Linked DNA regions of Oryzias latipes. The protein of the gene in region 2 purifies or fractionates together with the protein of the main gene of each other region. This does not show direct contact. Links are inferred from orthologs where the notes say so. Each region holds a gene or a part of one and is shown on either strand. Other genes may lie near its edges. The genes, in order: plk1, foxm1, otub1, ccnb1 and mybl2.

The links.
Region 1: the proteins of foxm1 (region 2) and plk1 purify together in Homo sapiens (affinity purification with western blotting; 5 studies listed by BioGRID, with this or other methods). This does not show direct contact. The link is inferred for Oryzias latipes from reciprocal best matches to the Homo sapiens genes FOXM1 and PLK1.
Region 3: the proteins of foxm1 (region 2) and otub1 purify together in Homo sapiens (affinity purification with western blotting; 4 studies listed by BioGRID, with this or other methods). This does not show direct contact. The link is inferred for Oryzias latipes from reciprocal best matches to the Homo sapiens genes FOXM1 and OTUB1.
Region 4: the proteins of foxm1 (region 2) and ccnb1 purify together in Homo sapiens (affinity purification with western blotting; 4 studies listed by BioGRID, with this or other methods). This does not show direct contact. The link is inferred for Oryzias latipes from reciprocal best matches to the Homo sapiens genes FOXM1 and CCNB1.
Region 5: the proteins of foxm1 (region 2) and mybl2 purify together in Homo sapiens (affinity purification with western blotting; 3 studies listed by BioGRID and IntAct, with this or other methods). This does not show direct contact. The link is inferred for Oryzias latipes from reciprocal best matches to the Homo sapiens genes FOXM1 and MYBL2.

The regions. Positions count from the first base shown.
Region 1 is NC_019859.2:22,726,364-22,730,593, forward strand, and holds the start of plk1 (serine/threonine-protein kinase PLK1), read right to left. Parts: upstream 2,805-4,230; 5' UTR 2,403-2,804; coding exon 2,040-2,402; intron 1,695-2,039; coding exon 1,526-1,694; intron 1,341-1,525; coding exon 1,196-1,340; intron 1,108-1,195; coding exon 1,014-1,107; intron 924-1,013; coding exon 698-923; intron 592-697; coding exon 549-591; intron 474-548; coding exon 376-473; intron 288-375; coding exon 210-287; intron 123-209; coding exon 1-122. UniProt on the Homo sapiens protein: Serine/threonine-protein kinase that performs several important functions throughout M phase of the cell cycle, including the regulation of centrosome maturation and spindle assembly, the removal of cohesins from chromosome arms, the inactivation of anaphase-promoting complex/cyclosome (APC/C) inhibitors, and the regulation of mitotic exit and cytokinesis.
Region 2 is NC_019881.2:18,848,111-18,852,380, reverse strand, and holds the start of foxm1 (forkhead box protein M1), read right to left. Parts: upstream 2,806-4,270; coding exon 2,364-2,805; intron 2,270-2,363; coding exon 2,121-2,269; intron 888-2,120; coding exon 696-887; intron 608-695; coding exon 479-607; intron 394-478; coding exon of another isoform or gene 334-393; intron 9-333; coding exon 1-8. Other genes in the region: rhno1 (RAD9, HUS1, RAD1-interacting nuclear orphan protein 1), read left to right, coding at 4,009-4,167. UniProt on the Homo sapiens protein: Transcription factor regulating the expression of cell cycle genes essential for DNA replication and mitosis. Plays a role in the control of cell proliferation. Also plays a role in DNA break repair, participating in the DNA damage checkpoint response.
Region 3 is NC_019876.2:28,621,202-28,625,400, forward strand, and holds the start of otub1 (ubiquitin thioesterase OTUB1), read right to left. Parts: upstream 2,804-4,199; 5' UTR 2,743-2,803; coding exon 2,700-2,742; intron 2,028-2,699; coding exon 1,966-2,027; intron 1-1,965. UniProt on the Homo sapiens protein: Hydrolase that can specifically remove 'Lys-48'-linked conjugated ubiquitin from proteins and plays an important regulatory role at the level of protein turnover by preventing degradation.
Region 4 is NC_019870.2:25,679,519-25,683,534, reverse strand, and holds the start of ccnb1 (G2/mitotic-specific cyclin-B1), read right to left. Parts: upstream 2,804-4,016; 5' UTR 2,716-2,803; coding exon 2,695-2,715; intron 2,456-2,694; coding exon 2,324-2,455; intron 1,836-2,323; coding exon 1,719-1,835; intron 1,238-1,718; coding exon 1,043-1,237; intron 970-1,042; coding exon 811-969; intron 674-810; coding exon 437-673; coding exon of another isoform or gene 377-436; exon of another isoform or gene 353-376; coding exon 212-352; intron 134-211; coding exon 23-133; intron 1-22. UniProt on the Homo sapiens protein: Essential for the control of the cell cycle at the G2/M (mitosis) transition.
Region 5 is NC_019863.2:23,217,204-23,220,281, forward strand, and holds the end of mybl2 (myb-related protein B), read right to left. Parts: intron 2,614-3,078; coding exon 2,514-2,613; intron 2,412-2,513; coding exon 2,301-2,411; intron 1,491-2,300; coding exon 1,374-1,490; intron 1,290-1,373; coding exon 1,158-1,289; intron 1,072-1,157; coding exon 943-1,071; 3' UTR 506-942; downstream 1-505. UniProt on the Homo sapiens protein: Transcription factor involved in the regulation of cell survival, proliferation, and differentiation. Transactivates the expression of the CLU gene.

The DNA.
Region 1 (4,230 bases), on a different chromosome or scaffold from region 2:
GCTTAAATAGGACTCAGCAGCCTTCTTGTCAATGTACTGCAGACTGTCGCCATCAGCATACATGATGAGTCGGGTGAAATCGTTGAATAGAACACCAACACTGTTGTCACAAAGCTGGTATCCTGCGAAAGCAATTTACAGCACACCCTTAATTCTCCATTAAAAGCAAGACAATAAAAGGCAAACCTGTCCTAAGATTTAGAATTTACCTAATCCATATTTGTCAGAGTAGTCGACCCATTTACTGATCCAAAAGATGGGAATACACGCAGGATCCTCTGCTTCCTCTGAAATCAAAGACAAGGGGTTTTCTGTAAGAAGGACTGACTAAAACTGCAGAAAGTTTAGGTAGTTCCTGCAGGCGGCTGCTCTCACCTTGCCGAATGACCGCCTTCTCTGAAGGCTTGGCAGAGATGATGCTGTTGAGCTGCTGCAGCATGTCCTTCAGGTAACATTCTTCTGGCTCCGCCTCTCTGCACACAAAATTCCCATTTATCATTTTTGATCAAACTACGACGCATGTTTTAGACCTTAGTGTGATGTCTCACAGTGGAGCAGGCTCGTCTTTCATGTCCACCTTCTCTGTGCCGGCTGAGAAAAAAAATATATAAAAAAAACCTCCATCAATATCACTGTTGATTAACTGCAGACTTTCATTATCAGTGCACCAGTTTTGGGCAATTGTTGGGTTTGTTACCTTTGTTGTTTATGGCAGTCAGGGGGCGCCTCTGGCTGAGCTCTGCAGCCATGGAGGGGGCAATGGAGAACCGCGGGGGCACAGTGAGACAAGTGGTGGGCAGCCGCAGGGGGACGTATCCCGATGTGAAGAACTCATCCGTCTGCAGGTCAGTGATGGTGGGCCTCTGGGCAGGATCGGCATGCAGCATCCTCTTGATGAGAGCCGAGGCTGACGGGTTGATTTGCTGCAGCATTCAAGTGAAGTGACGGTAAACTTAAGATTTTCTTTCACCAACTATTACGTACATTTAGGGATTAACGTCAGCTCTTCTCACCCAGGGGATGGTGTAATTGTTCTTCTTGATCCGGTTGTATGTGTCTTTCAGGCATGAGGTTTCAAACGGAGGCTTGCCGACTAACAAAGTGTACCTATGAGAGGATACAGGAAGGAAGTTGAGTATCCAGAATCCTGTGGAATGACACTCTTCCCCACTCCACTGTGGGTTTACACACTTACAATATGCACCCAAGTGACCAGACATCCACTTCATAGCTGTGGCCTTTCTTGCACAGCACTTCCGGAGCGATATAGTTGGGCGTTCCACACAAGGTCTTCTTCCGTTCACCATCAAACTCAATCTTTGTGGCCAAACCAAAGTCACCTAGCAAAAAAGGAAAGAAAGAAATGATCAGCGTTTAATCTGAGTAAAGGATATTAAGAAGCCAAATATGGGTGTTAACAAATTGGAGCTGGAAGTTCTCAACAAGGAAGTTATGGGAGCATATCAAGAACATGGGTGTGCCCGTTTCTTTGTCACTACACCGACAGGTTTCCTGCTCTCCATACCTATCTTGACTTCCATGTCGTCGTTGAGGAAGATGTTCCCCAGTTTCAGGTCTCTGTGGATGACCTTGTTGCTGTGCAGATAATGGACCCCTTTCAGCAGCTGGGTCATGTAGTAGCGAGCCTCCGGCTCCGTGACCGCCTTCCTGCGCTTGTGCAACTCCAACAGGGACTTGAAAAAGGACAACAGTTCTGGTGAGCGGCTGAACTCAGTGGAGGAAAATGGAGGCTGGGAGAGCATGAACAAGCTGGATGAAGTGAAGTGGCACCTCAAGAAGTGTTAAAAACAACACGTGGAACAACACAAAGGGGAAAAAGAATTTAGATATCTCTATAGTTTTAAATTACAAAAAGTTACTGGTTTAGGATAAGTAACAGTGATTTAAAGCAGTGATCAGGGGATTTGAGTCTCCCAGCACTATGCCAAAGGAGGGGGGGGGGGGGGGGTAACGGAAGAGGCCACATTGTTAACCGTTGGCCTTCATGTATTTTCATTTAGAGTTCCCAAAATCCTCACCCTTCTCCTGCAGATCTCCAGGACCACATAGACAAAGTCGTCGTCCTCAAAGAAGCCGTGGAAGCCCACGATGTTAGCATGATTGAGGCTCTTGTGAATGGAGATTTCCGAGCTCATCTTCTCCCTTTGGTGCTGCTTCAGGATCAACGACTTGGGCACTATTTTGCCAGCGAAAACCTGCTTGGTCTCCATGTCTGTAATTTCGAAGCATTTGGCGAAGCCCCCCTTGCCGAGGAACCTGCCCTTGGAGTATCTCCTCAGGGTGCGGGGATCCACCAAAACCTCTGGGATTTCTTTCAGAGGAGCCGATTTTGGGTCGACGTGTCCGGACGGCTGCGCCGGCTTTGCGATAGCAGCACTCATGGTGTACTTTAAAAGTGCTCTTTCCGCGTTAATAAAACTCCAAAGAAGTCGAAACGCAAAAGTTATTAAACAAGGGCTAAAGTGTTGTTTAACCCTCCAACTCAACCGACGTTAGTTTAGCCTTCGAAGCTAACTTTTTCTACGCCTCAATTTACAGCAAATACTAACAAACGATCTAAACCGCAAACGTTGACTAACATTTAAAGGCCGACAGGTCCCAAGATTAAATAAATTAATTAAAAAAAAAACCGGAGGCAGAATTCTTGCGCAGACTTCCCCGGCAGCGGTTGCCTTGTCCCGTTCTGCCTTTTCGATAACAAGTGTCTCGTACAAATTTAAAATGCTGGCTCGGTCGTTTTGGCGATCGTTGATTGGTCTGCTAGATTTGAATTCCACAGCGTCACAGCAAAGCATCTTGGGAACATGTGTACAAAAATAGCCAATCAGGAGTAGAGTAGAAGGCCTCCAACAATCTGATTGGCTGAAAGGCTGTTTTTGTTTCCTCGAGAAAGACGGATGGGAAATGTAGTCGGGAAAAGGATTTAATTTCGAAAGTGTTTTGTTATTAGCGTTATCCGAATTATGGCCACTCCTGATCCAATATCGATCATTTAGGTTCATGTTATTAGTTGAACACTAATATTACATGAATGCAGAGGATCATATGAAGTTTATTTAATCTTTGTTAGACTATGAGTTTTTTATGAATTTGTCATTTTCACTTTTTGGATGGATTTTTATTGACAGACATTGTTGGTTCAGGTTATACACTTTTATTTTTATTGATTGCCATGCTGACTGTGTACACTCATCTTGCGCCACACTTCCTTGAAAAACTTTCAACTTTTCATAAATTGAGAAACATGTGAGTGTTTGCTTTCTTCTCATGTTTTCTTTTAATTTCTACTCTGTTAGAACAACCATTAAATACTGTTTCAAACCAAATTCTCAGACAGTGCTATCGGCATTCTAAGTGTATCATTGTAATCATTGAAAAGCCACAAATGCCCTCTGTAGATACCAAAAGGAGTTCATTCAGTAATTGCAGTGGTTGAATAATTTTCAGGTCTAGAAATGTCCACTATGGGGACAAGTTTTTATTGCCGGTAGTGAGGAGGATATTTTTCACTCTAGATTGGTTGAAATTCAAAAAGGATTTTGAGCAAAAAAGCCTCAGGGTTTAACTTGAAAGATTATTTATGCTGGAAAGCATAAAATGGTGAGAAGCAGTAAAATATAGTGTAACAAAAGCAATATGAGAAAGTAAACCTGCAGTAATGGTTTAATCTGTCTTGCCACACTAAAAAAAAGTCACATCGTTTTTGTGATACCAAGATTATTGTTTATTTGACAAGATGTTAACATGATGAAATTAAGGACTTTCACTTTCTGATCATGATGGTTAACCTGTTGATGCCTATACTTAAATAATAACTCCAGAATACATGAAGATTCCCAATTTTTTACATTTGGATATTGACTGTACTGTTTGGTTTCAACATGCCAAGCTAAAAAAAAAAAAAAAAGTTGTTTTTCCCCTAAGGTTTTCATTTCTTTTTTTCTTTATCCACCACTGCATGGTAGTTGGGGTAACCAGTTAATAGATTGCTGGTTGCTGGCTGATCAACATTTTGTGGTAAATTAATTTGGGTTAAGAGTGTAAAGGGGGAATGGTTATGGGACACTAACTCAAAACACAGCTTGTTGAGGGGATGCTTACCTGAAGACTGCGGGGACTTGCTTGCACCGGTGCATCCTAAGGCTACAAACACACCGTTTATAAACCATCAGAGGTTGTAAAGGAATACAGTTCAGTAGTTTGGAGGTA
Region 2 (4,270 bases):
TTCTGAGACTGGAGAGAAACAAAAAAAAATGTAGATTCGAATTGATTCATAAAGTTTAACTTTCAGACGACACATTCTGGATGAAGAGAATCCACTGCTTCCTTTTCATTTTCTGCCCCTGCTGTACTGAGTGGACAATGGCAAAGAAACAACACAGCTTTCAAAGCAAACCTGCAAGAATAAATAAACTTACGATGCTCAAATGTCCACATAAAGCTAACTTCAAAGACATTAAAGGTTATTAAAGGTAAACAGGTTGAAGAAACACTTAAGCTTCTGTCCCTTTCAGCTTCCTGCTTGCAAAGTTCTGTTAGACTGAAGATGCCGTCTTACTTGGTTGGGAAATAAAAGCATTGGAACAGGAACTGGAGCAGTCACTGGATCACATCCAGGCTTTAAAAGGTGAAAAACACAGCAAAACATTAAAGGAAACTGTTAGACGTGTCTGCAAACCACTGAAAAACGCCGCCGTGCTCACCTTGTATACCTGATCTAGAGTGAGGCATCGGTTGGCCTCAGGCCGGATGGTCCAGAAGGAAACTTTCCCATCGGGCGCCGTCTCGCGAACAAACATGTCGTGCAGAGAAAGGTTGTGGCGGATTGAATTCTGCAAATGGGAATTTCAGAACAGATATAAACGCTTGGATCAAAAAAATGGGAGCCTTGAATAAACAAAAGTCTGGATTTTTTTTTACCTTCCATCCGGGTTTGGCCACCTGTCTGTAATACGGAAAATGGTCCTCGATCCAAGTGTAGATCTCTTTCAGGGTCATCCTCCGGTTTTTCCTGCTGTTGATGGCGAACTGGATCATGGCCATGTAGGAATACGGCGGCCTCCCTGACAGGGGCTGCTGGCAAGGTTTCGTTTCTGGAGGTACGCTGGCTGCCTATGATCAAAAGAAAAAACGCGAATGAGGGTGAATTTCAGCCGTGAAAATGACTGCAAGAACACGGAAGACAAACTCGAGAAATTCTTTTCTGGAAGATGTGGCTTCAGGTTGAAACACATACAGACAGTATGTAACGGGAACGCTGTCCCCTCCCTCAGACGAGAGAACTTGTGGCCAGCTTAGAATATTTTCTACGTCACAAATGAGCTCTTTTTTCAGTCTGCTCCTGATTCACAACAATTTGAATGAGGATATACTCAGAAATGCAATTGTAAGCTTAATTTTCCCTATATATGTCCTCTAGCTTCAGAAAATTGAGACAATAACATGGTAAAAACTATTTTTTTTATCGGAGTGGGTCTTTAAGCAGTCTTCGGGTTTCTTTCTGTTCGGGTACTGCGGAGCTGAACAGCAGCTTCAAAACGGTCAAAAATATTAAAAAGGAAATTATTACACCTCACCATTTACTGATCTAAAGATGCAAAAATTGACGGTTAATTTAGCATTAACAAAAAAAAACACAACTATAGAATTTCCCCTAAGATGGAAAAGGACAAATCACAAAAGGAAGTGACTATTTGCATGAAATTAGAGTGTCAGGGTTAAAATATGTGCATGAATTTCCATCAGATTTTGAATGTAAACACATTCAAAAAAGATCAGCCATCAGAGAATATATAGCAATATCTACAGTGAATAAAGCAAATCCTGTTGATATGCATCTATATCATTAATACATACATACAAATATATGGGTAAAATCAAAGCCTTTGTAATCTATACATAGTAATAAACATCATAATTGAGCTACTTAAGTCACAAATATACAAAGTTAGCATCTATTTATGGAGCATTGCAATAAATGTTCTTGTAAATTATGTCATGCAACACTATTTAAATCACCATTCAAGCATATATAATTCATCAAAGTTTCAGTTCAGATGGTGGGTAATAGTATCTATTTTTCTCTCACAAAAAACTTACGTTTTGTCAAAATCTTCAGCAAAGAGCAGCTTTAGAATAAAATGAAAACGTGTGACTAAACCTCACAAATGGTGAAAAATCACAGCATGGTGACATTTTCCTCAGGCAGACGGGTTACTGTTCAATTTTAGGAAACGTGCCACAACATTGCCTCAGACTTGTGTTCCTGTCACACAAGAATCTGTTTGCACACTGGCAGCAAAAGTCACAACCGTGTGGAAGGAAAAAAAAAGACAAACAGCTGACCTGAGCAGTCTGAGACACGGGAGCCTGGTTCTCCTTGCCTTGTATTTGCTTTGCAGGCTCTGACTCTAGAGCACATGTGTTCATTTTGCCCAGCCACTGGATGTTGGTGAGGCTGTCATCCAAAGGGCCGCTATTCCCATCTTTACTCACTGAAAAAAAATTATATATATATATTGAAGCAGGTATTTCAGTTAAATGTAGCATTTCTGACATAAAATTTTAAACTCTGTGCAAATTCCTTACAGGGTTTAATGCCAGTCACATCAAGGGATGTGTGAGTGCTTTCTTTTGTTGCTGGTTCTTGAGATGGGATTTGTGTGGAAACAGCATCTCCTCCAGAAGTAGCAGTCTCACAGAAAGATCCGGCTTGATCCTGATTGCCATTGTCACTCAGGAGAATAAACTTGCTCGGACCCTGAACTCCGCTGTCTTTGCCTTTAGCGGCGAGGACACTAATTACACTCTGAACGTCTGTAGCTTTGGGAATGACCACAACCTGAGTGTCTGACAGGGATGGGTGGCCTATAAAGCGGACCCCGTCTGGGAAGCACGAACTGTCGCTGGAATTTGACGGCTCTTTGGAGCCACCGGACTGCCTGGATGGGTCTGCTGGGGTGGGTTCCTTTTGTTGAAAAGGTAACTTGCGCCTTTTGAGGATCAGGGGTCTCCTTGGGCTCCGTCTCATGGTTCAAATCATCCAAAGGGCCTTAGGTGTTCAATGGAAATCTGTGGGGAGGGGGAAAAGGTCTTGAGCTACAGTTATGGCTCAAAAAGTACTCAGAAGTTAAACACCTTATCAATACATTACGTTACAACGTTTAAATACTGACTTTAACGATAACCCCGAACTAGTGAGCCTGAAAACAACATACCTGCTAATAGAATACGAAGTAATCGGTCAAAAATGATGTTTCAATCCTATGATATCGTCTTCAAACTTAAAGAAACCCGATTATTGCTGTCTGTTTGCTGCAAAAGTCCCAACAGTCCCTCGCTCGAAAGTGAAGATTTTATTCGGTTCCCTTGGCGACATGCCAGTCGTTATAATTTTCAGTTGATGATAGGTTTAATTTCAATAACGTCTATCTAGTGGATATTCAGTGCAACATATATTTACATGTTAACACAATGCAATCAATAAAACAAAAAATAAATTCAAAAAATAACATGCGCCTAGCCAATGTCCCGATTAGCGTATAGTTTCCTTTATTTACAGCTAGGCTAAGCTAGCTATGCTAAAGCTGTTTGACGATGGAGGAAACAAGTGGAAAAATGAAGCCAGACCTTCACATTACTGAATTACTGCAGCGTTTCATTCAATTCCAGGCTTGGTTCGGCTTTCAATTCCACTTGTCGGATCAAAGAAAACATTTAAAATATTCACAAAACCGACGTATTTAGTAGTAATTAGATACAAAAAGTCAATCCATAAACAGTTTTGAATTTTGGCGCTGTGGGCGCTGCCCCGACTGTCACTTTGATCACATGGTAACAATGGACCAATAGTAAACGCAGAAAAAAACACTGGGCGGCTCAATAGGTGGCGCTGTGGGCCGCAGCTCGAGATGGCCAGCCGCTAACCCGAAGAAGACAAAGAAAAAATCCGGGAAATTAAAAGTAACAACAACACGGACAAGCTAAGATAAAAAGGTCTGAATGAACCGAAAAATAAGGGAACGTTTTTATTCCGTATTCCGTACATGGACACATAATCACGGAAAAAGCACAATATGGTAAGTAAAGAACGCGTTTCAAAAGTAAACACTTGAATGCGAATATGTAAACAGCCTCGATCTACGACTAAAGCTATGTGTATTGTTAACAAGATTACTCGATCGGATTTGTCTCTTGTTTGTTTTGAACAGATGCTTAAGATTGATTTAAATTGATGCCCCGGAAAGCGGCAAAGACAGACAAGCCTGCACTGCAATTCCTGGAGCGACCTGTGAGTGGCGCCAGACTTCAAAATGTGCCTGAAGTCAGAGCTGCTCTCAATCCCAGAGAGTTTTTCTCCAAGACACACAGCTCTTCAGCTCTCAGTTCCTGGGTAAAAGTCTTTTAAATATATAAAAATATATAAAACATTACAAATATAGATTTAGTTGATTAGATAACTGGCAAAAAAGTCTACTTAACTATAAATTTCCCAA
Region 3 (4,199 bases), on a different chromosome or scaffold from region 2:
TGACCAAGCATTTGGACGTATTCACGTTGTTGACCAATCGGATGGACACATTCACGGTGTTGACCAACTATTTGGACACATTCACGTTGTTGACCAATCATTGGACGCATTCAGGTTGTTGACCAAGCATTTGGATGCATTCACGTTGTTAACCAATTATTTGGACAAATTCAGTGTTGACCAATCGGATGGACACATTCACGTTGTTGACCAATTATTTGGACAAATTCACAATGTTTACCAATCGGATGGACACATTCACGTTGTTGACCAATCATTGGACGCATTCACGTTGTTGACCAATCATTGGACGCATTCACGTTGTTGACCAATTATTTGGACAAATTCAGTGTTGACCAATCGGATGGACACATTCACGTTGTTGACCAATTATTTGGACAAATTCACAGTGTTTACCAATCGGATGGACACATTCACGTTGTTGAACAATCATTGGACGCATTCACGTTGTTGACCAATCATTGGACGCATTCACGTTGTTGACCAATTATTTGGACAAATTCACAGTGTTTACCAATCGGATGAACACATTCACGTTGTTGACCAATCATTGGACGCATTCACGTTGTTGACCAATCATTGGATGCATTCACGTTGTTGACCAATTATTTGGACAAATTCAGTGTTGACCAATCGGATGGACACATTCACGTTGTTGACCAATTATTTGGACAAATTCACAGTGTTTACCAATCGGATGGACACATTCACGTTGTTGACCAGTCATTGGACGCAGTCACGTTGTTGACCAATCATTGGACGCATTCACGTTGTTGACCAATTATTTGGACAAATTCACAGTGTTTACCAATCGGATGGACACATTCACGTTGTTGACCAAGCATTTGGATGCATTCACGTTGTTGACCAATCATTTGGACAAATTCAGTGTTGACCAATCGGATGGACACATTCACGATGTTGACCAATTATTTGGACATATTCACAGTGTTGACAAATCGGATGGACACATTCACGTTGTTGACCAATCATTGGACGCATTCAGGTTGTTGACCAATTATTTGGACGCATTCACGTTGTTGACCAATCGGATGGACACATTCACGTTGTTGACCAAACATTTGGACGCATTCACGTTGTTGACCAATCATTGGACGCATTCACGTTTTTGACCAATCGGATGGACTCATTCACGATGTTGACCAAGCATTTGGACGCATTCACGTTGTTGACCAATCGGATGGACACATTCACGGTGTTGACCAACTATTTGGACACATTCACGTTGTTGACCAATCATTGGTGCATTCAGGTTGTTGACCAAGAATTTGGATGCATTCACGTTGTTGACCAATTATTTGGACAAATTCAGTGTTGACCAATCGGATGGACACATTCACGTTGTTGACCAAGCATTTGGACGCATTCACGTTGTTGACCAAGCATTTGGACGCATTCACGTTGTTGACCAATCATTGGATGCATTCACGTTGTTGACCAATCGGATGGACGCATTCACGTTGTTGACCAATCGGATGGACGCATTCACGTTGTTGACCAATCGGATGGACACATTCACGTTGTGGACCAAGCATTTGGACGCATTCACGTTGTTGACCAATCATTGGACGCATTCACGTTGTTGACCAATCGGATGGAGCCCTTTCATGTCAATTTCTGCCTCCTATGTAGATGAGTGTCATTTTAAGTATAATGCATGTTGGCCCTTACTTAAATGAACTGTTGCAGTGGAATAGAAATAATGTTTTCGGTTGTTTTGCTATTTGTTCATGTATTGCAAGTTCCATCGTCAACGCAATATAGATCACTAAAATGGCAAATCTAGAGTTTTCCTCATTCCATTTAAAGATTTTCTTAAACTTCAACTCTCTGAAACGTGAAGATCCAGACGTGATCATCACAGACATCAGACCAGTACCGAGCTCAGCATCTGAGCCCGGTCCAGTGATGGGGTTTCCTCACCTCCTGCTGGATCCGGTCCTGCTGAGCGATGATGGCCTCATCATGCGCGAGGCAGTTCACACCTGGAAGACACGAGCGCTTTTAGCTTTACCTGAGAGCAGCAGCAGCAGCCACAACAACAGCACCACAGAACTCTCTAGAACCTAGAGCCACTCCAAAGTACAAAGCAGATTCAAAGATCGTCTCTGCATCGTCCGCTGCACTGGTTGGGAAATAAAAACAAAGTCGGCGCGCGCGTTTTTGGGGGAAAAAAAACTCACGAAACGCGAGTCAAAGGGTAGCAGCACAGGATGCTGATGAGGGTTCAAAAACAAGTTGGATGTCGTCTGAACCCATCAGAACCGGTACCGCTGTCTGTCTGTCTCTGTGACAGACACAGACAGACAGACAGCTAAAGGGTTTAGCTCATGATGATGCTGCGTCAAAACAAAACTAATTATCAACGAAAAGACATCCGTCCTGCAGAGTCTGCATGGGTTCTGGCCTCCGACGGGTCCTCATCGAGCTCTGGCACTGGGGGAGGGGGGCTATCGGTCGGCCGCTGCACTACAGCGTTTCCTTTGTGTGGCTCGGTTATCGTTAGCCGAGCAGCTGCGACCCGTTTACACTTCAGTCTACCGGAGCATCGGGCGGACATCATCCCGCTCGGAGCTCCGGTCACATCCGGTCCGGATGTTCGGCAGAACTGACAGGTCGGCACGCGGGGTTTTTCGTGCCACAGGGGCTCCTCTCACCCTCCATCTCTCCCTGTGATGATTCCTGCTGTTCCTCCGCCATCTTAGCTGTGGAAATCTGTTTCCTCCTTCTTCATGACCTCAGCGATGACGCACTTCCGGGCGGCCGCTTTGCTCTTTTTAAAACACACAAACACGATAAAGTCAACACAAACTGTTGTTGTTTTTTTATACTACACACACAGGAGAAACAACAATAGTGTCACCGGAACAATAACTTTGTCCTGGACTGAAAAGACCATTTTTGTCTCACAATTCTTCCTAAATTTGACCCGCCATTCACTCAAAAACTCTGACAGGTACAGAAAAAATAAAACAAAAATACAAATTATTTTTTACTTGAGGATGTGACGTCCTCACAGACTTGGACTTCTCAAATTATGAAACCATCCGTTTATAAATTGGAAAAAAGGAGGAACCCCCCCCCCCCCCCACTTAATTTATAAAGCTGTAGTCTTAAGGTCGTGTCAAACAACCACCACGTACATTTTGTGCATTTTCAGTGTATGAAATCTCAGTCCTCCGTGATCCATGCGTGATCTACGTCAGTGGTCCCCAACCGTATTCATGCCACGGACCGGTATGACATCACACAAACTTTCACGGACCGGTATTTCAAGTATAGGCGGATGATTATTGTAGCAATACTAGGATGAGGGAGGATCAAATACGTGACAAGACGAACTCTGTGCTTTTAGTTTGACTCGCTTAAAAGTTGACATCGCACAGGTCTCATCATCATCTCCCCTTCCCACACTCTCGTGGTGCAAAAAAAGGTACTGTCTATTAAATTTAGCTTTCTTATTTTGGAAGTTGAAGGCTCTTCTTCTTTCTCCTGGCTGGGCATTTTCCCCTCGGCAAAGAAACTTTCCAAAGACATTTTGTTTTTTACTCATTTTGCTAGTTCCTGGATTTTATTTTAGCGGTAACTTAACACGTGACCGAGAAGAGCGCCTTGGAATGCGTCAAAAATGACATAGACTGATGTACCAAAGAATTGGGCAATTTTTCAAAATAAAACATCTTTCAGATTCCGAAATAAATAAAACAGAAGTAATGCAAGTTATATATTCTTTCTCTGCAGCCCGGTACCAAATGACCCCAAATGACCCCCGGAGCGGGCAGATATCCGGGAGCCCGGGGGTTGGGGACCACTGATCTACGTCATTCATAAATGTTTCTTGCGTTTGTCGATGTGTTCAGATGTCCCTCGAGGGTTTCAGACGACGGGTTTTAACGTGAATTCAGTTTTGTTCTGTTAAAAATTTTTGGTCGGTTGAGAATTACGCAATTTACGTAGTTTATACGCAATTATTACATAAATCTTCTGCAATTACGTGTGATTTTTGTGAGATACACAAATGTGTGTCTTTCCAGGAGCGTTCCACGTTTGTCTAACAGACTTTTCATGCATGAACCACTGATGTGTAACTTTTAGATCACGTACACGGCGCACAGATCACGTTCAGATGACATCATTGATGCCTGAATCACTAATGA
Region 4 (4,016 bases), on a different chromosome or scaffold from region 2:
GGATTAAAAAATAAAAGATTACCATGTGTTTAGTTTGCCCATTGTTGACTTTCACGACATTCTTAGCGATGTGCGCCATAACAGGTGTCAGGGTCTCTGCTGTGTACTCCATGTAATGCTGCAGTGTCACATCCTGGGAAGGAAGACATTCATATCCAATGCTGTCCCAGGCAAGTCAGCGATGAGAGCAAACCCTTCAAGTGTCACTCACCCATTCCCCTGCATCCAGGACCTTGAGAGTCAGCGCCAGAGCTGCACTCGCCACCAATGAGGGCGGGAAATGAGCCATGTCGTAGTCAACCATGGAGAGCTCCAGCAGGTATTTGGCCAGGGTGTGTTGTTCAGCAGTTACCTGAAGAAAAATAAAATCCCACCTTCACCTCAGCACATGCAGTGGTGGAAGAGAACAGTTTGCCGCACCGACACCGCGCCACACCTCATAGATCTTGGAGGCCCTTCTGAGGAACTGCAGCGGGAGGGGGCGGCCCAGCTGAAACTTCAGCACTCGCAGAATAGTCATTTCCATGTCTCTGATCTGAGCAGTGGTGTAAGCCCTGTCCGTCACGTAGGCAAAGTCTGAGATCTCCGGAGGGTACATCTCCTCGTATTTGGAGGCCAGGAACATGGCGGTCACGCCAACCAGCTGCAGCTGCTTCTTGGGGACTGGATGGTCCTGTTGAAAGGACCGCAGACAAAATAAAAGAAAAATCTCAGCACACAAGTCAGTTAGAGGACATCTGTTATGAAATTATTTTTTTTTATTGAATTATGGAGCACATCTAGTCTGTAGAGGAACACTGACAGACTCACCTGAAGAAAGCGGTCGATTATTCCCACAGTCATGTACATGGTCTCCTGCAGCAGACGGAACTTGAGGCCCACTTGTACCAGCCAGTCAATGAGGATGGCTCGCATGTTTCCGGTGATCTCCTGACCCTCAAGGTAGTTTGGCTTTACGCTCTGCTCCATCTACAGGAGAACAAACGTCTCTTTAGGGAAACGGCACACATCAGGAATGCAGCTTTCCGGGTTTTAGTCCGACCTCAAGCTGACGGAGGTACTTGTAGATGTCCTTAACATATTCACTGCAGAGCATGGGGTTGTCGTAGTCATCTGCATCCACGTCCCTGATGGCCGTGTTGAGGATGACATCTGAAAATGCTTGACAGAGGTCAGCAGACTCACATCCAGAGGTCTCCATGGGGGTGGGGGATGCACGTTCAGCCTGGGCTGGCACCTGTGAGAAGGTCATGTCAAATCATTACACGTCACCCTAGTGGTAGAGCGTCTGCCCCAAGACTGGTAGGCAGAGGGTTCAAAACCAGTGGAGTCACAGCAAAGACTTCGGATGGAACCAAAGCCTCCCTGCTTGATTCAAGTGGACACATCAGAAGGGAGCTGGTGACCTGCCGGTGGGATTTTCTACCTCACAAATAAGCCCTTATCCAAACAAACAGCATTTTTTTTCTCAATTCACAACATTTGAATAAAGTAATCAGAAATGAAATTTCAATCTCATTTTCTTTAGATGAATCTTTTATAAGAAAGAGGCCACAATCAGAGTGGGTCTGTAAGGGGTTGGATTGGGAGTGGTTAACCCACCATATGGCTCCGAAGCACAACCATGCCTGGAGCTCACTGCTGCCCCCAGAGGATGGGTCAACCACGCAGGACAAATGTCCCAACCAGGTGTGTGACAACCAATGACACCAACTCACCTCAGTCACCTGCACTTCAGGTGCTGGTTTAACAGGGACCACAGCAGCTTTTGGTAGCTCGATCTTCTCAGCTTTAGCTGGGATCTTTGTCTTCTTAGCAACCTCCGTCTTGATAGTCTGAAGAAAGAAAGGTCAAACCCAAATACTGCTATGCATTTTACAGAGCTGGGATCTTTTCATTTGAGTTCTTTGCTTCTTGCACAGTTTGGGAAATCTCTACAGCTGCAGGCCAAAGCCACAAGTCCTAGCTGTACAGGTTTTGAAGCTCTGCGCATTGAGCTGATAGTACAGCAGTAACAAGAGTTTCTCTTAACAAATGTGCATTCAAACTCAAGTTGTTGTTTTTTTAGCAAAGATTTAAATTTACAATTGATGGTGTACATTCTTAGACATAGTTCCAGGTTAACTGTGCTCCTCCAACCTGGGATGCATTTTATACTTGACTAAGGGCCCCAGTTCAGCACAGTAGACATTTTCTCATCAGAACAGGCCCAACCCCTCACTTCTACACCAAACTTGCCCCAAAAAAAGGTTAATCACTTTACTTCGATAAGTGGAAAATACATTTATATAGGATTTTTAAAAAAAAAAAAAAAAGATTTTACCTTTTTCGTGACATCTTTGTTAATAACTGCGACGTTTCCGATTTCTCCGAGGGCCGCGCGGGGCTTCTGTGTAGGCCCGGCCACCGAGCACGTCTTTCCGCCCAGTTCGGCCCGGGTGGAGGCCAGTCGGTTCTGCAGCGAGAAAACGGACAAAACAAGGCGCGCTCGAGATAAACCTGCAGTGGTGAAGCAGCACGTTCAATAAATTCAAGCCAACAATATTTGACCTCTAGCTTCCGCTCACATACAGCCACATGACAGTCCAGTCAGAAAACACGTCAAAACATTTAAAACCAGAGAAAGACGCGCTTCCTGAAATCGTTCTTTTCCGGTAAAAACAGAGAGGAACGTGTAACGTGGTTCAGACTTACCCTGGTAACTCTCAGAGCCATGCCTTTGCCTGCTTCTCTTCCACAAACAACCACGAAATTGAAGCGGAGAAGGTGAAGATTCCAACGCACGAGTCGTGGTTTAAATCCTCGCTCGCTGCAAACCGATTGGCTGCGCTGGGCGGCTGCGGCGATTCTGATTGGATAAACGAGTACGTGTCAGATGCGCTCCCAAGACAACTTTGGGTCACGTGATCACGCTCTTCTTAGGTCACTTCCCTTACCCGGATATCTAACTCCGTTCTTCTAGAGCTATTAAAATAAAAACATTTGTAGATAAAAACATACACTACTTTATTGTTTGCATCTAAACAAGGAAAACACTTTTTTAACGCAAAACAAAAAGAAGAAGAATCAAGAGGATCTCAAAAACAATCCTTTACAAAAACAAACAGTACACTGAAGCTTATTTTTTAAGTATACTTGAGCATCATTTTACCAAGCATGCTGCTATAGGTTGGATGTATGTATAGTAGAAAGTACAAAATCTGTTAAGGGTTAACAAAATTTAGTATCCTTAAATGCACTTCAAGTAGGCTAAAAGTGAGGCAGTGGACTTGAAGTTTACTTTTTATATCTATATATTTTAAACTTAGACAGACTGGGCTGGCGACCTGTCCAGGGTGTCCCCTGCCTTTGCCCGTAACATGTGGAAAGGCTTCGGCAGCCCTGTGACCCCAAAAGGTACAAAACGGAAGAAGATAAATGTATATATAGTAAACTTAAAATGTTCCAATTTAGTCTATAGATGTATTCAGTTAGTATATTCCCTACACTACATGTGTATACCGGCTATACTTGTTATGCTCAGTTATACTTAATCAAATAAACTCAAAGTCTACCACTTATTGCTAATAGAATTGAATGTTGCCCTAAAAATGATTTTATTCTGACACTTAATGATTTTCTCAGTTTATTGTCATTTTTTATGTTAAAACATGTTTGAATCCCTCCGTGCAAAAGAATGCATATATATATATCTTTTTCTTTTTACAAAAAAGCTCATTAGTCCTGTATTCGCTACTAAAGTAGAACAGTGGTGTAGTGATTTGTTCTTTTGCCTCAGTAGGGCCTGGCTCACATCCCAGCCGGGTCTTTTCTGAGTCAAGTTTACAAGTTTACCCCAAGCATGTGTGGGTTTTATCCTGGCACTCAGGCATGTGCAAACATATTTAGGTTAATTGATGATTCACAATGTCTGTGACTGTGTGGCCCTGCAATGGACTGGTAACCCATCTGGAGTGTGTACAGCCTTCACCAAAGGATCCAGTGACCTCAAAGAGGATCAGCAGGTTTGAAATTGA
Region 5 (3,078 bases), on a different chromosome or scaffold from region 2:
ACTTGTAGTCAACTACATTCATGTCTTTGTTTTCCTCACAGGGTTGCTCCGTGCCAGTTGTCCCGCCCACAACTGAAATGGTCTTAATGAACTCCTGCCGCTCTGCAGAAACTGTGTCCCAGAAAACAACAAAGGTTTTCTAATTTTGCCTAAAACTGCATATTTACAATTAAGAGTGCTGGGAGCGCTTTGAAAATAGATCAGAAGGTGACTGGAATGGGACTTTAAGAAATCAATCTTTGTCATAAAAGACTTAAGACCTTAGACTTAGACACCAGAACTAAATCAGTTTTTAAGCATCTCAAAAACACAGCAAAACTCGAGAAGTTTCATGGTCTGGATGAGATTCAAGAAAAGCAGTCATGCCTTTTCTCCAAAATTCTGTTAGAAAGATGCAGCTCAGATCACTTGTCAGAAAGAAAGAATGACATCACTGCTTCAAAACTCAATTTAACAGTTGAGGTTTTTCATAGATTTCGAATCATTGTATGAAGCCCACAAGTTTGTTCCTGAAGCATTTATTTGCATTGAACATATTATTGTTATTTTCTTATTTAAAAATACACAGAATATTTACAATGACTTTATAAAACATTGTTGCAGTCGCATCAAAATTCTGCAGGAACAGGAATACGTGAGCCCTATTTAGACAAATCTGAAAGAACTCTACAGTCACCTAGCGTAAACGCAGCTCTTCTGCTGAACTAGAAATTACCTCCAGACTCACAAGACCATGACAACCACCTATTTGATCAAGTTTTTACCCCTGATCTTTTGTAAACATTCTTTTTTATTCTTTTCTCAAAACACTAAATTGGCATCCGTTCTGTCAGCTGAGCCACGAGGCTGTAGTCTGATTCCCGCCCCCCCCAAAACATTACTAACTCTAAACCGTTTTCTTTACTACAATCAAAGAACATCAAGAAAAGTCTTCTGGAGGGGTCAGGACAGGATCAGAGCCCGGTTGGGTGGATGATTTTTCAGGGAGCGAAGGTAGCGCCTGGCTTTCTCCGTCATGATGAGCTGGTCTTTGGTTTGTCCACAAACAACCTTCTCCCACTCTTTGGACATCTGGGGGAGAAAATAAGCATAAAATGAATCATGATTCTCTTTTTTGTTTTGTTTTTGTAAACATTCTCCAGTAAGTGAGGACTTACAGGAGCGGGGGGCACTGGAGTGGGAAATATGGCGCTGTCGCTGGGCCCCAGCAGGAAGCCCTGATCAAGGATGTTCTCGCGCCGTTTGCTGCAGAACGACGAGGAGTTCAGAGAGACGAGAATGGGTTCTTCCTGAGGCGAGACCACAAGACGGAGCAAAGAATGAGCATCGGTTGAACCTGCATGGATGACATAACTAGTGTGCGCAGGCTTCACCGTCATGCTGAGTCTGACGTCAGGCCTCATGGACTTGCGTTTGGACGAGTGCCCCAGCTGACAGTCCATGACGTCCAGAGCCAGAGATTTCCGCACTTTCTTCATAGGAGGACGATGCTGATGCAGAGAATCCAAGAAGCAAAGGGAAAGATTACTTTTACAGCAGCTTAATTTGTTTTTTTTTCTATTAACTCACTTGAATTTGACCATTTATATTTCCCAAAACTGAAAACCACAACCAAATATTTTAATCCATCAGATTTTTTTCATCAAATATAAAAAACAGAAGCCCGTAAGCAGCGTAGTGAGACCCCGCCCTCAACGCCCCCTTTTGACCTGCCCTCACTTGCTGAGCAGCTGCTACACAGCCCTCACTCCATCCCCCTGCTGCTGCCACTTTGGTCGGAGCTGCATGAAACAGCTCAGTTGCATGAAACTGTTGGATTTATCTCCATAGCAACTATTTAACTTTTTGGTTCCTTGGGGATAAGGAACATGTCCAAGTAATTTTTAGAAGAATCGACTAAAGTAAATTTCTGGATTTCCTTGCCGACAGAGTTTTTTTTTTTTTTTTTTGCTAAGCACATCCACATTTTTAATTTTTTCATATTGTTTGTTATATCATTTCGTTCAGCTTCAGCCAACAACTAATGGATTGAATTTTTACAATATCCCGGTAAAAATGTTTGAGCAACAGGGGAAAGGGATCTTTGTGAGCTCGCCACGGAATTTCCAAGTAGTTGCCCAATGATGCTTGAGGAGTTAGGAGGCGATAGATGGAAATCCCAAAAATGAGTATGAGTATACATTTGTCGCTGGTCCAAGGTGATTTATTTATTTTAAAGTCTGAATAAGCACCAGTTTTTCTGCCACAAGAAAAGAATTCTAAAAGTGAATGAAGTTTGCGTGAATCTTTTTTCAATCTACCATCATTTTGCGTTTCTGATCAGGTGGAGTTGAGCGCACGACAACCAGCTCCATCCCAGAATCCCTCAGGATGACCTCGTTGATGTCGTCTTCCAGGTTTGGAGTTTGAGGCTAAGAAACAAACAAAAAAAAAAAACAACAACATTTAAGTGAATACGGAAATGTTTTTAATAAATGAAAGTAAAACCCAACAGAAACAGGTTGTGCTCCCACCAGCGGCTGCAGGGGTCCGTACTTCTCCAGAGCATTTTTGAACGGGGTTGGAGTTCGTGGCGTCGTGCAGAGCTCAGACTTGTGGTTTGGAGTAACAAACCTAAACAACAACAGAGTAAATAATCAGACCCCAAAAAGCCCTTTAATTCATATAACTGTGTATTTTGAGATATTCTGAATACATTTTCCACTTTGAAGCTTCATTCACCACCCCCCCCCCCCCACCCCCCTCTCAGCGACGCGCGTTCAAGTTCCCACTTCCAATGAAAAGTCTATGTAAATGTCCGGCTTCCGCTCTCAAAACTCTTTTCAGGCTCTATGTACAAAACGTGCATCCACTGAACGCCTGTTGAAAGTTACACCAGTTGAACTTTGACCAATCAGGGGACTAGATTTGGTCGTGACGAATGGATGGCGTCCGTTTTAATCCATGAAAGTACCAACCGTTTGAAAACTGCTCACAGAGGAGAAACGAGTAACTGCGGTTTGGGCCCGGACTGACTTATATGACACCAAGTCTGCTAAAAGAAAACGGCAGGAGCAACATTCAAGAGATTTGCTCCGC